Linked DNA regions of Neurospora crassa OR74A. The protein of the gene in region 1 purifies or fractionates together with the protein of each later gene. This does not show direct contact. Links are inferred from orthologs where the notes say so. Each region holds a gene or a part of one and is shown on either strand. Other genes may lie near its edges.

What was found. The genes of interacting proteins can lie anywhere in the genome.
Region 2: the proteins of NCU04252 (region 1) and NCU06708 purify together in Saccharomyces cerevisiae (affinity purification with western blotting; 3 studies listed by BioGRID, with this or other methods). This does not show direct contact. The link is inferred for Neurospora crassa OR74A from reciprocal best matches to the Saccharomyces cerevisiae genes SLY1 and SEC22.
Region 3: the proteins of NCU04252 (region 1) and NCU01674 purify together in Saccharomyces cerevisiae (affinity purification with mass spectrometry; 4 studies listed by BioGRID, with this or other methods). This does not show direct contact. The link is inferred for Neurospora crassa OR74A from reciprocal best matches to the Saccharomyces cerevisiae genes SLY1 and SEC17.
Region 4: the proteins of NCU04252 (region 1) and NCU08973 purify together in Saccharomyces cerevisiae (affinity purification with mass spectrometry; 3 studies listed by BioGRID, with this or other methods). This does not show direct contact. The link is inferred for Neurospora crassa OR74A from reciprocal best matches to the Saccharomyces cerevisiae genes SLY1 and YKT6.

Annotation. Positions count from the first base shown.
Region 1 is NC_026505.1:5,366,431-5,370,561, forward strand, and holds the start of NCU04252 (SNARE docking complex subunit), read right to left. Parts: upstream 2,811-4,131; 5' UTR 2,419-2,810; coding exon 2,376-2,418; intron 2,299-2,375; coding exon 1,325-2,298; intron 1,267-1,324; coding exon 809-1,266; intron 743-808; coding exon 88-742; 3' UTR 1-87. UniProt on the Saccharomyces cerevisiae protein: Able to suppress the functional loss of YPT1. SLY1 is essential for cell viability. May interact indirectly, or directly with YPT1.
Region 2 is NC_026505.1:4,347,985-4,351,189, forward strand, and holds NCU06708 (protein transporter sec22), read left to right. Parts: upstream 1-1,384; 5' UTR 1,385-1,546; coding exon 1,547-1,580; intron 1,581-1,697; coding exon 1,698-2,317; 3' UTR 2,318-2,691; downstream 2,692-3,205. Other genes in the region: NCU06707 (uncharacterized protein), read right to left, coding at 1-261; NCU06709 (hypothetical protein), read right to left, coding at 2,951-3,205. UniProt on the Saccharomyces cerevisiae protein: Nonessential SNARE involved in targeting and fusion of ER-derived transport vesicles with the Golgi complex as well as Golgi-derived retrograde transport vesicles with the ER.
Region 3 is NC_026502.1:2,742,002-2,745,805, forward strand, and holds NCU01674 (alpha-soluble NSF attachment protein), read right to left. Parts: upstream 2,335-3,804; 5' UTR 1,960-2,334; coding exon 1,927-1,959; intron 1,854-1,926; coding exon 1,730-1,853; intron 1,642-1,729; coding exon 1,335-1,641; intron 1,262-1,334; coding exon 847-1,261; 3' UTR 515-846; downstream 1-514. Other genes in the region: NCU01675 (90S preribosome component RRP12), read right to left, coding at 1-119, 262-333; NCU01673 (hypothetical protein), read left to right, coding at 2,963-3,682. UniProt on the Saccharomyces cerevisiae protein: SNARE complex protein that binds to cis-SNARE complexes on membranes and is required for vesicular transport between the endoplasmic reticulum and the Golgi apparatus and for homotypic vacuole fusion.
Region 4 is NC_026503.1:4,097,496-4,101,151, forward strand, and holds NCU08973 (SNARE protein Ykt6), read right to left. Parts: upstream 2,189-3,656; 5' UTR 1,747-2,188; coding exon 1,726-1,746; intron 1,668-1,725; coding exon 1,502-1,667; intron 1,437-1,501; coding exon 1,147-1,436; intron 1,090-1,146; coding exon 970-1,089; 3' UTR 515-969; downstream 1-514. Other genes in the region: NCU16686 (hypothetical protein), read right to left, coding at 3,307-3,656.

The DNA.
Region 1 (4,131 bases):
TTTGACCAAGTAAAGTAATTATAATCTGATATATAGCAGCTCCTCACTTCCACCCCTCACTCTTCCCCTTCATCTTTGGCCATCAATCTACGAAACCTCCTTACCCAACCTCTCCAACTCCTCCTTGATAAAGCTGCCAGCATTAAGCAACTCCGTACCACCATAAATCACCCTCCTCTTCGCACGATCTCCCGTCGTCGTTCTCGCCGCCCACTCCTGCAAATTGCTGTATTCGGCCGTGCTCGCACCGCCAACCATGAACACAATCGCCTCCGAGAACCCCTGTCTGCGTTGCCCGAAACTGGCCGTTTGGCCCGGGCCACTTGATCCTGGCAAGCCACCGGGCCCGCCCAGGGATGACCCGCTCCCTTGGGCCCGCATGGCCGACGGCTGGGGCATGGTGCCGCGCGCGTTGGCGCTGCGCGGGTCGAAGTAGAGGTAGTGTTCCGTCTTGGCGATGGCCGAGGAGCTGGCGGCCGATGGGTCCATGAGGGACTCGGTGATCTTGGTTACCGTGAGGTCGCGGTCTTCGGGGAGGAAGTTCTTGATGCCACCCAAGAGAGAGGCCACGTTATTGGAGAGAGCGCCCGTGGGCACGCCCGTCTCCTTGAGGCGGTCGGTGAGACGGCTGGAGATGGCGGAGAAGCGGTTGAAAAGGTCCGAGGACCCGGATTGTTGCTGGTTGGAGGATGAAGGATTATTTACCGTGGTGAGTTGTGTCATTTTGGTCGTGGCGCGGACTCTGTGTGGTATTGTTAGTCAGAAATGGCTGAAAAAGCCCAAGAAAAAAAAGGGGGGTAGCACGTACTGCTTAATGTAAGAGAGGCACGTTGTGTCGCAGCCCTTGGCCGCGAGTGCCTCCTCAAATTGCGTCCATTCCTGACGAGACACATCCTGTTCCGTGCTGAGGTACCAGATCACAAAGAGACGCAGGTAATCCTCAGGCTTGCCCTTGTCCGCCGTCTTGATCTGATCCAGCACTTGCGCCTTGGTTTGCTTGAACACGTTCTCCTCCAGTTGGAAGTAGTTATCCAACTGTCGGCTTTGAATCTCGCCAAGGATAGCAGCAAGGATGTTCATGTGCATATCCAAAGTGGCTTTTCTTGCGCGCAGTTCGGGCAAGAGTGTAACAGCTGCTTTTAGATGCTGAGCACTTGCACTCGAGTCTTGTTCGAAATGGTCCAAATCCCTAACGCCAGTCTTCTTGGTGAGAGCATCCGCCTCCTCCTTGTATTTCGTGAGTTCAATGTCGATGTCCTCGGCAACCTAAGCATCCTGGTTAGTAGACCATCCTCAGGATGTCCCGTCTGCACTTCCAGCTTACCTGAGGGAACGGCAGGCATGAGTTCTTGGCCCAGAAGAAATCATCGGCAGCCAAATCATACGTCTTCTTGTTGGTGCCCTTGGCCGGGTTATTGGAGTCCACGGGGCTCTCGATTGTGATCCGGTTCGATTCCGACAAACCAAAGACGTCGGCGCATAAACTCTGGTAGGTCCACGAGTGGGACAGCATGGGAATTAGGTCAATATTACGGTCCATGATAACGAGCAGGGGCTTTGGCGTTCCAGTGCTGGAAGCGGCTGCCCTGTGTGCCGAAAAGAGGTTGTCCTTGGAGTTGAGAATATGATCGCGAAGTTTTCGGTCCAATTTCGTTGCAACCATCTCAGCAGCAGCACCCCTGGGGCAGCGAATAATGGGAATGACGCCTAGTGTCACCACCACGCTAAACAGGCCGCTGACGATCCTGTCGATAACTCTGTCCAACTCCTCATCTTGTGTCTTTGCGCTATTCAACGCCCAGTATGTATGCTCCTTCTGCATGCCCAGACTGAACAAATCCGGCTCGGGAACGATAAAGTTGAGGTACTGGTCGAATATCTGGGCAATCTTCTCCGATGTGCCGGCGACAGCGGTTTGCGCCGCAAAGTCCTCCAACAGTGGCCGTGGTACCGAGGAGAGGAAGTTGATGCTGGCAGAGTTATAGAGGTTCTTCTGAAGATCATTGGTGATTTGCTGGAGGTTCTTGGCGTTCGGTTCGATAAGGTAGATGGCATCGACATCAGGAATCGGTTGCCTGTTGGCCGCGATGGAAACGTGTAGCGTGACGCCCATGGATCGCAGATCCGAAACCTGGAGTACTGGGCTGATGACATTGCGACCAAGCTCGTCAAAGACCAAGATCTTCCACGTGGGAATGTCCTTTAGCAAGGGGGCGGAAGCGGATTGGAAGCCATTCGAGTCGTCGCCGTCGGTCGGTTCGAGGGGTTGGTTGAGGTTCAGGAGCTTCTTGATAGACACTAGAGAGCATGTGTCAGTCCACCGCAAGACTGTCTGGCATTGTGACCCTTGGGGATAGGAAGGCAGTGGGACATACAGATCTGCTTGTCGCGCAGAGAGTTCCCTGGTGTTGGCGCCATGTCTGTGTATTAAAGTGATTGCTATGCTGGTCGGCAGGAAGTTCGTGGAGGAGGACTCGGGGCCGAGGTGCTGTAGAATACTGTAGGCTGTTGAGGCAAGTGGAAGGGAAGGTAGTAGCTCCCGTCTCGCTGTCACAGTGGTGGGGCGGCTTGTGATCGCGTCCCTTGAACCGAATTATCGCTAGGCTGGCCTCGAGTCGTTGGCCTTTTCGCAAACTTTGAAAGAGAGCCGCAACTTTTTAAAGACGAAAGAGCAAACGTGTTAAGATGTTACAGTACTGAGTCCAGAAGATCCTTACGTGTTCAATAGTACCTAGGTATACAGAAAGCTGACGTGAGGAAACAGAATATCTCCGTTGAAGCTACCTTGGGTACCTACTTCTGGAGGTATGTTGTCTTCTCTGGTCCGCAAGGTACCTGACATCTCTCCCTCGGCTTGGACCAGTGGCCTTTGTCTCCCAGTGGACTGTTTACCCCTTCCCTTCTATATCCGCTAACCTCCACTTACAGGAGGTGCCGCCCTGAGCTGAGAGCTTTCCCCCACAGTAGAGGTATGACGAGGATTCCGTTATCGTCCTCCAATGTTCGATTGACACCGCAACCAGCAAGTTGTGACATCTTCCTGTCTCTGTGGCGTTTACCTTTGACTGTTCCAGGAATGGATGATTGAGCCCGTGCGTGTCATCGCTGACAATTTACCATGTCGTCCGTCTTATTTGCTCTCGATTTTCCTATATCCGTAGAAGTGTAGAGGTATGATGGACAACTTCAAGGTCCAGAGAAATACCTTCCCTAGAGGTAGGTTGGTACGTACCTCTAGGTATTTTCAGTATGTCTGCTCCTGCCATAACCTGTCTGCCTGTCTAGAGGTAGGTAGAAGTAGCGATTAAATGGTAAGGTACAAACACTGCTGCAATTTCCCACTGATTCCTGCCCCCAGCTGGCGCGGACCCACCCAAAACCCAACAAACGGCCGGTTCCTCTTTGGTTCCAGGTATCGTGCCAGCGTGCTACATACAGAAATCCAACTTCCCAGGGGCACTTCCACCTTCACTTGCCACGCGCACTGACCACAGAAGCTCTTGCTACACGTGTGCTGACTTCCACTTCGTTGCGTGCCTGGGCCATTTTTGGAGAAAGGCCCGTGATCCGCCAGTGCCAACGAGCGTCGGCGGCCCGTGAGCGCTAGCGTGCCAGCCAGTCAATGCACTCCCGTCACTGGCAAACTCGTTGAGAAAGCGCCTGCCCACTGCACTCATGCACCCGCTTGCCCAGTCGCAAAGCGTCAGTCCCTTTTTATGAACGGCGGAACGCACCTGATTTGCGCGACCGCTGCTCACGTTCAACTTTTTTCCTTTCAACTCCCGTCGTCACCCTGACCTGACATCAGCAGCATCTCTCCTTTCTTCGACGACCAACTTGTCGCCCTTGGTCGCCTTGTCGCATCGCCCATCGTCGTACTTGATAGTCGCGTCCTTTTCTTCGTACATCTTTTCCCTGTTCTGGCAAAGCTGTAGAGGCGATTTAAACGCGCAGGTTTTCTTGACGTCTCGGGCGTTTTTCTGCTTGCGCGACCGTCATTCGGAAGTCGTCTCTTTCCCTGGCAGCTGCAGTCGTCCGATCGACCTGCGGCCCTGGCTTTTGAAGATTAATTTCGTTACCTGCCTGCTCAGCTGAGTTCAAGGTCGGGACCTCTCCATTCTTTAACCCGGG
Region 2 (3,205 bases), about 1.0 Mb from region 1:
TTCCTCGACTGCTGGTTCCTCGACTGCTGGTTCCTCGACTGCTGGTTCCTCGACTGCTGGTTCCTCGACTGCTGGTTCCTCAACTGCTGGTTCCTCGACCGTTGACTTTTCGGCTGCTATCTCCTCCAAAGTCACCTGCGCAGCAGTATCAATCTTTTGGACAAGGATAGCATCCCAGTCCCCACTCACGCTCCGGGGAGGTGAGGCCGGAGGAGAAGAGAGGACGGAGGACAGCGGAGAACTACTTCCTTCTTCAGCCATCCTTCAGGACACCTTCAGTTAGTCGCCTTTCTGGAAAGATAATTATTGCGTGTTGAAGTTGTTCAAGGAGTGATCGAACGCGGCAGTGTGGGTTTGCCGGCAAAGGAAAAATTACCGTCAAGTCAGATCTGGATCTAGACAGATCCGGAACTACTTAGTTGTTGTGATATTAAACAATACCAGATAGCAGAAACTGGCAGAATGGCGCCGTGAAAGTCACCGTTTGTCTTTCGTAAGTCAATGATGGTTCATGCGGCCAATATGGCTGTGGTTACATCTGCGAACAAACTGATGTCTGGTGGAAGGGAGGGGAGAAAGTGGGGGGTTTATAAAAGTAGAGAATGAGATGCGTTCAGGTGAAAATGTGGTCAACGAAACGAACCGAAGTGGTACTACCTTGAGTACAAGTTGACGCGCAAGGTTGGGAGGATGTGCGAGGGAACGAGGTGGAACTGAACTTGATCTAACCACCACTCTGAACTGGGAGGGGGATTATACTGACTGTGATGAATGATAGGTACCTCTAGGTAAGTAGGTAGATATTCCACCTCCAGCTCCCCTTCCCCGATGTTGTTCGGTTGAAGATGCTCCTTCTTCAAGTCGTTGTGTGATGGACAGGATGGGTGGGGATGGAAGCTGAAAGGCGCCAAGCCCGGGCAGCCACTTGCATGACACACCCCGGAAGCTAGAGGTAGCTTGTACATACTGCATAGTAGGCGTGAATAGCGGGCCGGGCGAGACTGCCTGCTCGCACTATTTAACTACCTAAACAAAACTAACTTGCAGGCCCTGCAGGGTGAACTTTCAACACATTTCCAGCGGCAGTACCGTCATCAGTGTCCCGTTTGACGACTTGTAATCCTTGATAAGGAAACACACGTTGGCCTGGCGAAATCATTGCATCACTCTACCTACGGGTAATGTTTTGTTTTCTTTATATAGCCATGTAAAGAAAAAAAAAAAACAAGAAAGAGGATAGCGAATTACAATCTGGTCTGCTGGTCGACAGGGAAAGAAGCATGCAATTGAACAAGAGAATTCGTCGGTGCGAGTTGGTTGCGGTACCTAGGTAGAAGCCACGTACCTGGCTGCTTTTGACGGATCACTCCCACTCGTCATCACAAGCTTTTATAAACCTTGCCTTGTTCACTGTCCTCTCCAACGACACCAACTTAACAAATCCAAGCACGCAACTGAACTGGCCTTGATTTCGAGTTGCACAACGATACTAAAGGTCGCCAAAAACAACACAATGAAAAAGGAGTGATATAACCTATTCTTCACAATGATCCGCTCAACACAAATTGCACGGCTGGATGGTTCGTGCCCCCCCCCCCCCCCCCCCTAACTAACCCCCTCGACCAACATCTGTGTGCCTATGGAGATGTCAATGTCTTGTCCGGTAGCTAACCAAGACCCCTCCCCTCAAAACACAGGCCTCATGCTCTGCGCTTCCGTCGACGACGAAGCAACTGAATCCTCCCTCAGCGAAGTCAAGTCCCAAGTCAAACTAATTCTGCGCCGCCTAACGCGCACCTCGGAACCGCAAGCCAGCATCGAGAGCGGCTCTCTCTACACGCTGCACTACCTGATTCAGTCCGACATCGTATACTTCGCCATTACGGACCGGTCGTACCCGCGCAAGCTAGCCTTCACCTACCTTTCCGACATTGCGGGCGAGTTCGCGACGACGCACACCCCGGCACAGCTCATGAACCCGACGCTGCGGCCCTATGCCTTTATGGACTTTGACAGCTTCATCAGCCGCACCAAGGCGACTTACAGCGACACGCGTGCGACTCAGAACCTGGATAAGCTGCATGATGAGCTTAGGGACGTGACCAAAGTCATGACCAAGAACATTGAGGATCTGCTGTACCGCGGCGACAGCCTGGAGCGCATGGGCGAGCTGAGCAGTAGGCTGAGGGACGATAGCAAGAAGTACAAGAGGGCGGCTGTTAAGATCAACTGGGATTTGCTGCTGAAGCAGTACGGCCCCTTTGCGGCGGTCGGTTCCATTATCATCTTCTTCTTGTGGTGGAGATTCTTCTTTTGAGTGCATCCCAGGCAGGGAGCATCACCGGTAGCGGGTTAGCATGATACCGTCGGGTGGGTTTCCTCAGTCAGCCTGGCTCTGTATGATGCTGTGACGGATAGCCTACGTGGATTCTGTAATTATTTTAATATGTGTTTGTAGGGCATTGGTTTTTGGCGCTTGACCTAGCATGGAGTTTGGGTAAAGGAGGTTGGGGGGAAAGGGGGGCAAACGCAAAAGGACGTTTGGCCAGGTGAGGTTTCAGCTATCAAGACATGTTGCTTATAGGTTCCTGCTTTCCACTCCTTCATCCGATGCCTTCCTAAAGCCTGACAAGGTCTCTATGGATGACTGTACCACAGTGTCACCGATGCTCAATCATGCGTATCTCCTGGTTCATTCCAGACCGGCATCTCTTCTGCTCGACACGCTATTTCTGTCAAGCGATGATACAAAATCTCCATCTGAGATAGCCTATCGGTCTCTTTCCCTACTTGAAGTAGAAGCTCTTGCCCCCCCAAACTCCAATTCCAAACCCGTTTTTTTTTTTTTTTCTTTTTTTCAATTTTGTTGTTCTCAATCCAGAACATAAACCGACACCCTGGACACTAAGCCCAAGCTTGAACCACCCGCACACGCACCCGCAAGCCTCAATCACATAATCAAACAACTCCCCGCCGCCTTTGGCAATAACGCCGGTATACTCGGCACCGGCAACGCCGTATGATACCATTCCAAATGCTCCTGGAAGCTGGCCAAGTCCTCGAACCCCCTCTCGTCCTGTGCCCACTTGACCTCGTCCTCGCTGTCCTCACCCTGGTCCACGTACGTGTATTCGTCGCAGTAGGGACACCATATCCTCGCCAGCCAATCGCCAGGGACGGGGGCAATGTGGTTCGCAATTGCTAA
Region 3 (3,804 bases), on another chromosome or scaffold:
GGGGTCGCGAGGTTTTCGTTGTTGAGTAGACTGAGAAGGGCAGCGAAGTAGGCGGTAGGAGTCGCGGGTGTATTGCGCTCCTTGAAGGTGGCCTCGATAGCCTCGAGGACACTGGCAGTCTGTGGCTCAAGTCAGGGTCCATTGTCCACGATGGAGGCGGCCTTGCGACAGGCCACTGCAATGGCAGGCTGGAAGGAAGAGGGTAGGGATGCAGAAGACAAAAGATGGAAAAAGGAGAGATGCATCATGACTCTGGCTTACCTGCTTCTGGCTCTGGAGATTCGGAGACCGAATCTTGTCCAGTTTCTCCTGCAAAGACGGAGAAGAAGCCATCGTGAATGTGATGGAATGGCGCTGGAGTGGGACAATGCAAGCCGCTTCGCAGTGCTGAAATCGATGTCATGAAGAACAGAAAAGTTCGAAAAGTTGTCGCTTATCGGCGCGCACGCCCCACCCGCTGTCATTGATAAGGGTCTGGCGCTAGTCCGAAGCGGCTCCCAACTGTAACTCCAGGGTTAGCTATGGCATCTCATGCTTATAGAGGTACCTATGTTTCGCTTGGGCAGCCATCAAGGTTATGAGATACAACAATTCATGTTGGATCGTACGAACAACGCGTACCCACTAGGAACAAGTTTCTATTGCTTTAAGCCCATCTCTACCCCAGACAGCAGGTTTGTTTGGGTCTTCCGTAAATCACCAAAGCGTCGATGACCGTATTCATGATATGACAGTTCATCCCCCTCCCAACCAGAAAACGCCGGTACGATAACAAAGAAAAGAAAAAGGAAAGAAGGAAACCAGAAAGTGATAAATGGCTGTATATCACAAGTTCCTCCACCCTGTTTATGAAAACTCGTTGTCTGCCTCCTCAAAGTTGTTCTTGATCTGGAGAAGAACAGCCGCCTTCCAGTCATCGAGCCGGCTCATCTTATCGTACGCGGCAAGCTTATCCTGGAACATCTCGAGGTTGTTGTTTGAGGCTGCTTCCAACAAGTCAACCAGGAGTTGGTATTCGCGCTGGCCCGTAAATGATGGGTCCTTCTCGGCATACTTGGTGATGTTACGCTGAGCAGTGACCATATCCTTGGTCGCCAAGGAGCAGAGACCGGCCTTGAGGAAGTACTCCTTGACCGAGTACCTCATCAGGTTGTTGCCGAGTGAAGCCTCCGCAACCTTCTCGAACTTCTCTATAGCGGCGAAAAAGTCGCCCGCGAGGGCAGAGAGGTCGGCCACCTTGAGCCACAGCTTGTTCGCAAGACTACACACAGCTGGTTAGAACGACCTGTTGGACTCGTAACATGGCGCAAAAGCCGTGGGCATTAATCACTTACGCGACAGCACCGTCGTTCTCATACCACTCGGCCGCAGTTGTATAGGCCTTGATAGCCTCTGGCTTATTCTGCAGCTCGTTTTCGTAGACCTCAGCCTGGTTCTCCTTGTGCGACGCAGCTCTCCGGAAGTTCCCCGCCATGGTATACTGCTTGATGGCAACCTCGACGCAGCGCACAGCATTATCCGGGGCATCTTTCCTATAGACCTTGAAGGCGTCCAACATGGCATTCGCCGCATCGTTGGGCTCCTTCAACTTCTCAGTGAAGATCTTGGCAGCTTCCTCGAAACACTTGCCGGCCTCGGTGTCTGGGTAGTGGGCAGAACGTTAGGACTTGCCGCGAGGTTCATATGGCCCGAAAGCGCATCGTGGGTGTTGATGATTGTGATGACGTACTTGACTTCTGCAACCTGAAAGCGTTGGCCGCTTGTATGTACTGATCCGCCGCATTTTGGTACTTGTCTTCCTTGTTTCCGAACAGACCCCAGCCTTTGGACGCGCTCGCGAGGGTCTTCTCTGCCTGGTGTTCGCATTCGGCATCAGCAAGGTGTCGCGAAAGTGTCAGGAGGTGCCAGGAGGGGCAGGTTTCAAACCTCTTGTTGGAGAACGCGCGGATCGACAGCCATGAAGGGCAAGTTATTAGACGGTATATAGATGGGCAAAGTTCTAAGTTGGAGTCGCGTCCGCTGTATGAAGCCGATTGATGGGTGTCCCAATTGTTCGGAATCGGGCGCGCTCGAAGAAGCTCAGGTGTTGGTCGGGATGGTGTCGTGTTGGTGGTTGCAGGAGCCCGAGGTGTTTCGTTGTCTCCCGGGGTAAGGTATGCGGGCATGGGATTGGGGGGTTGGCCGGTACTCGTGCTCCGCCCCCACTTTTTTGGGTCTCGCCAAACTCGCACCAACTAAAGTTGGTGCTCACGACTGCAACGGCCACACCAGCGCAACGGCCAGGTTAGGGTTAGAGGTGCAATTTCGGGCTTGATTTATAGGCCAGAAACATAATCTTTCTAATGTATTGGCTTTTCTAAGCAGAAAAATGCTTCCTATATACGATGTACTTCCCTAATTATACTTATAGTATTTTACTTATCTCAATTGGTTGTTGTGATGAGTTACAAGCTTCTGATATCTTGATGCTGAACTATGCTCACTATGGTGGCCGTTGTGGTGGTGTGGCCGTTGCAGTCGTGAGCACCAACTTTAGTTGGTGCGAGTTTGGCGAGATCCAAAAAAGTGGGGGCGGAGCACGAGTATTGGGGGGATGATCACTTTAGCGGGCTGTGATCGCTGATGCCGGCTCGCCAAGCCCTTGACGCCTGAGCAGGTTCCCTGAGGGCTGGTAGCTTGCCTGACCAAGTGGCCCGGTGGCAGGGGTCTAGCCTTCAACCTACCAAAGCTCAGCTATGACGCCCAATAGGTAGGTACCTCGCAAAGGATGTCTCGTCCTCTTTCATCTCAACCTCTCATATCGCGACATTTTACCAGAGCCTCACCTGAAACCACCCATTAAAGCATCAAATAATCTCCAAGCCACATCATATGCAAACCTCATAGAGCAACGCAAGTCAACATCTCCCTTTCAGCTATACTACCTTGAAAACCGAGGCATTTTCTTCCCATCAAGGCTATCATGACAACAAAAACCATCTGCCGCGCCTGCCACCGCGCAGCTCTTTCAACCTCCTCGGCCCTCTCAGCCTGCTTCAGCTCCAACTCCAGCCAGCCATCAACCCGTGACTTCTCCCGCTCACGATCTTTTACAACCGAAACCTTCCCTCAATTCACCGCCCGCGGCGGCTCCTCCAAACTCCCTCCACCATCACAAATCAGCCCATCAGTCATCCTCTCCACGCCAACCTGGTCCGTCCGCTCTCTTCTTCCTCCATCATCCACACCATCCTCGTCAACCCAACCCGAAGAAAGCGAAATAACCCCCCAAACTCTGCACCACCTCGCCCGCCTCTCCGCCCTCCCCCCGCCCTCCGCCTCCGACCCTGCCTCCACCACCCGCCTCCTCTCGGCTCTGCACTCACACCTGCACTTCGTGCGGGCCATCCAGTCGGTGGATACCACGGATCCGTCAGATCAAGCCAAGGAGCTGGCGCCCTTGAGTTCGATCCGAGATGAGTCTCCGGAGGGACTGGCGGACAGCACAATTGATCTGAAGATGCTTGAAGGGGCGCTGGCGGAGGAGGATATTGTTGGTCATTGCCTGCGGCCGAGGCGGAGAAAGATGGAGGAGCTGAAAGAAAAGAAGAAAAATGAGGCTGAGGATTGGGATGTGTTGGGATCAGCTGAGCAAAAGGTTGGGAGATACTTTGTTGTCAGGAGTGGGAAGAAGGGGGAGTAGATGATCAAGGGGAAAATGGCCGAGATTCGTCTCGCGCGCCCTGGAGAAGGCATAAGGGCTGTGGTCTGCGTGGTCTGACTATATAGGAGGGCTCTGTATCTGCTAACTGATGCCGAACGTGT
Region 4 (3,656 bases), on another chromosome or scaffold:
ATTCATTTGAAGCAAAGGCGCGACATCAGGTAGGAGCGCCTCTGCCACCCCGCACATTTACAGTCTCAGTTTCCTATGATGTTGTTCGAACCCCAGCTTGCATCCAACGTCTGTAGTGCACATGAGTAGACGCCGACGGAGCCGATATAAGATCGGCATGGAGGAAGATCCGTACGCAATGCCGCCATCATCGATCAGCTCAATTGATGCTGCTGCGTAGTCTTGTAGTTTGAATCTCAACGTTTCCATTCATATCTTCAAAAGAGTCTTTTTGGCTGGGCTAGCTTGAGAGGGATAACAACCCCTAGAATATACCATAGTGTACATTAGTTACGACTCGCACAGTTTACGCCACTACGGCGTGGCGGACAAGGTCGTCATCACTGCAACCGAATGTCGTGACTGGGGAACCCGACCGCTTCGCTTGTGTCGGCCCATCACATAATCTTTGAGGGCGGATGTCGTATGAAACTAACGGGTATGCAAGAAACGGAGCGAAGATCTCTCAGATAAGTGCGCAGCCTCGGGTTCGACACATAACAAATCTATAACAGGACTACCTACATCTGGTAGTCGAAGTATGTATTTCACAGCTTTAGCGCCAAACAGTGGTCAATCTTTCACAGTTTCGGGTATGTACCACACAACAATGAATATGAGAAAGGGTATATTGCAGGTTGAATTAGAAGTTTAGCATTCTCAGAGCCCACGAAGCCGTCAAGGTAAGTGGCTTTCACATATCCAAAGCGGCTACTGTAAGGCCCTCTGTCGTCAGTAGCCAAACTGCAACCTGCGCGGAAACCAAAAGCTGAATTAGAAGAGACCCCCACCAGTGCCTCGAAGACAACGAGGGGTCAGTCGCTCTTTGTATTTGGGTAGGGGGAACGTTGCGGTCGATGGCATATATCAGTGCGGCTGACTAAAAGCGAAGACAGTCGCGCGTGGTTGGTTGGTATTGATGAACGATCTTTACATAACCAGGCAGCACGAGTTCTGCTTCTTCGCACTCTGGTAGAACATCTTGCTCTGCGCACTCAGGTCGGAACTCTTGGCAACCAGGTCGTCGAGCTTCTCGCCTCGTTGCAAAACCTAAAACTAGGTTAGCATGTTATATAGAGCATTGCTACCCTCTGTGAATGGACATACGCTATCAATTGCCTTGTGTAGGACGATCTTGGTCTCGTCGAGCTCTTGCTGGATCTTTGCAATGCTGCTCGCGTTGTTGGCATCTTGGTAGTCGCGAAGGTACTGCTCGATGGCCGGGAAAGGGATGTCGCCGTCGTTCTTGGCGGCGTTTATCGTGGCAACCGGCTTCTCCGAGAGAAACTGGTCCATGAGCTTGGAAAGGACACTGTGGGCGGCGATAGGAGGGTAGTCCTTGGTGATGACGACACCGCAAACACCCTCGGAGCGGGCATAGGCGTGGATAATATAATCTGTTCGGACACCACCTAGTCAGCTAGGCACATGTATGCGAGCAGAGAGTTCACCATAGACGCACCTTGCTCCTCAACACTTTGCCTCTGGCCAGGCTTCGTCCTCTCTGCGACAGTCCTGCTGATCATGGTCATGAAGTTCTTGTATTGGTCTCGTGTGAACCTGGAGAAGTCGCTAAGCTCGTGGGCACCGCAGAGCTGCACCGCAGGCTGCTCGGTGTTTTTGTAGATCTTGTTCGCGGTCAGCAGGTACCTTCTTGTACCCCCTATGAAAGCAGCCGTATCTTACACCAATGTAGTAGAGCTTCATGGTAGCGGTATTTGAAACGTCCCCGAGGTTTTGTTGTGGTCGTGTTTCAGAGCTTTGGCGCAAATCAGGCGAGTATCGCTGTTGATGGTTCCTGACTGTACACGATGATGTTGATGTCTCGCGTTGGGATAGAGAGAGCCGATGTGATGGCGTGGGGAGCAATGAGGTCTGGAATTGCCGAATCGTAGGGTTCGTCGTTAGATTAGGTTAATGGATTGTAAGTTGCGATGGTTTGGTCAAGGAAGCGCGTCGCTGTGTCGGTCGTGGTTCGGGCTCGACGATTGTCGATGGATTAGGGGGAGGGGTTTGATAGACGACGCGCGATCGATGGCGGCAATGGCGATGCGATGAGGTATCGATGGAATCAAGCTGTTGTTCGAGGCTGAATGGCGATGTGTCGAAGCCAACCACAGCCGTCCGCTTCTTGTTGGGCCAGGCCATCGAGACCCATGCCCTCTGGGCTGGAACAGCACCGTCAGGCGGGCGTCGGCCAAACACCGCCCCGCTAGCACATGTTAGTGCCAATGCTACTATAGGAAGACCTTGTCCTAACACGGGCTCTTGTTGCATCTCCGTGTCCTTTCATTTGCTTTTTGTTCAACCATGATTGACATGTGCAATGACGACTAAGACGACTACTCAGATCCCTACAATCGCACTTGTCAAGAACATCTTCCTGGAACATTGAACAAAAGTTTCCAAGGGGACGGACTGATGATGTGGAAGGTGATTAGAAAGCACAAACAGAACAAGCGGAACGCCGGCCCATGCTTCTAACGAGGTTTCCTGAAGCGAAAAAAGGGTCTTTGGTGTACAGTGTTCACCCGCGAAGCGAATATGTTTGACATGCACTCTGCTCCGAGTCTGGAAGGGATCGCGGACCTCTCAACGAGTATTACCCCTATGAGGCACATAGTATATGATTCCACGACTACCCAGTATAAAATACTATGGAGCAAAACTCCTTCGAGTCAGACGGATGGGATCGATGCCTTGAATGACCTTTTCGAGAACAAAGTCATCGATCCTCTCCACCAGGTCCGGATATTACACCGCGCGGATTTCCACCTCGTGTCGGATCTCGAAGCCTTTCGGGTACATATCATTCATGGTCGCACAAATGTAACTACACACATATGACCATCGAACCGCCTTGCCCACGCGTCTGTACATCACCAATAATGTAAAGCTGGACATGAACTTCTGGCCGAGAGATCGTCAGACTGGTGAAGCTAGAAGTCTTCCTACCAAAAGTTGACCTTGATGGAACAACAACCATCAAGACCCGTAGTCGTAGTGTATGTAATGACGAGGAGATGGCTCAAAGAGGAAAACCAAGCCGTAGTGTAGTGTACTATGTAGTGTAGTGTCGTGTAGACAAGCCTAGGAAAGAGACAGGGGGGGTTCGTGAAGTGGCCGGCACATGCGTCGGTTCCTCCTTCCACCTACACTACACCAGATTTGGACGCCGGCGATGCCTGTGGTGCTCCACCGCTTTTTGCACCGATTAGGACAAGCCCAGTGAGCTGTGGCTCTTCGCCATTCGTTTCCCCAGCGATCTCACTCTGCCGTCGCGGTGCCGTTCGCTTGTGAGATGGAAGAGGAACGGGCGGGATGCTGGGGGACGTTGGGACGGCGACGAAGCGCAGTGGACACTAGACTCTCTGCAGTGGGTTCGCAGTGCAGTGGGTGGGTGGACCCGCTGCTGCAGACCAGGGCCGAGCCAATCCCATTGGCTTTAAAGGCAAGTCCAGGGTGCAACGTCTTGCCGGGCAGTCGGGCGTAACCTGGACAGGAACCATCGTTCGCTCTTGGCTCGCTTGGCTCGCACTCGTCTGCTCCGTTGATTGACGAAGTCGACCTTCCCGACGCGACCTCGTCCCCCCTGGTCAGCTTCTCGAGCCTCGCCC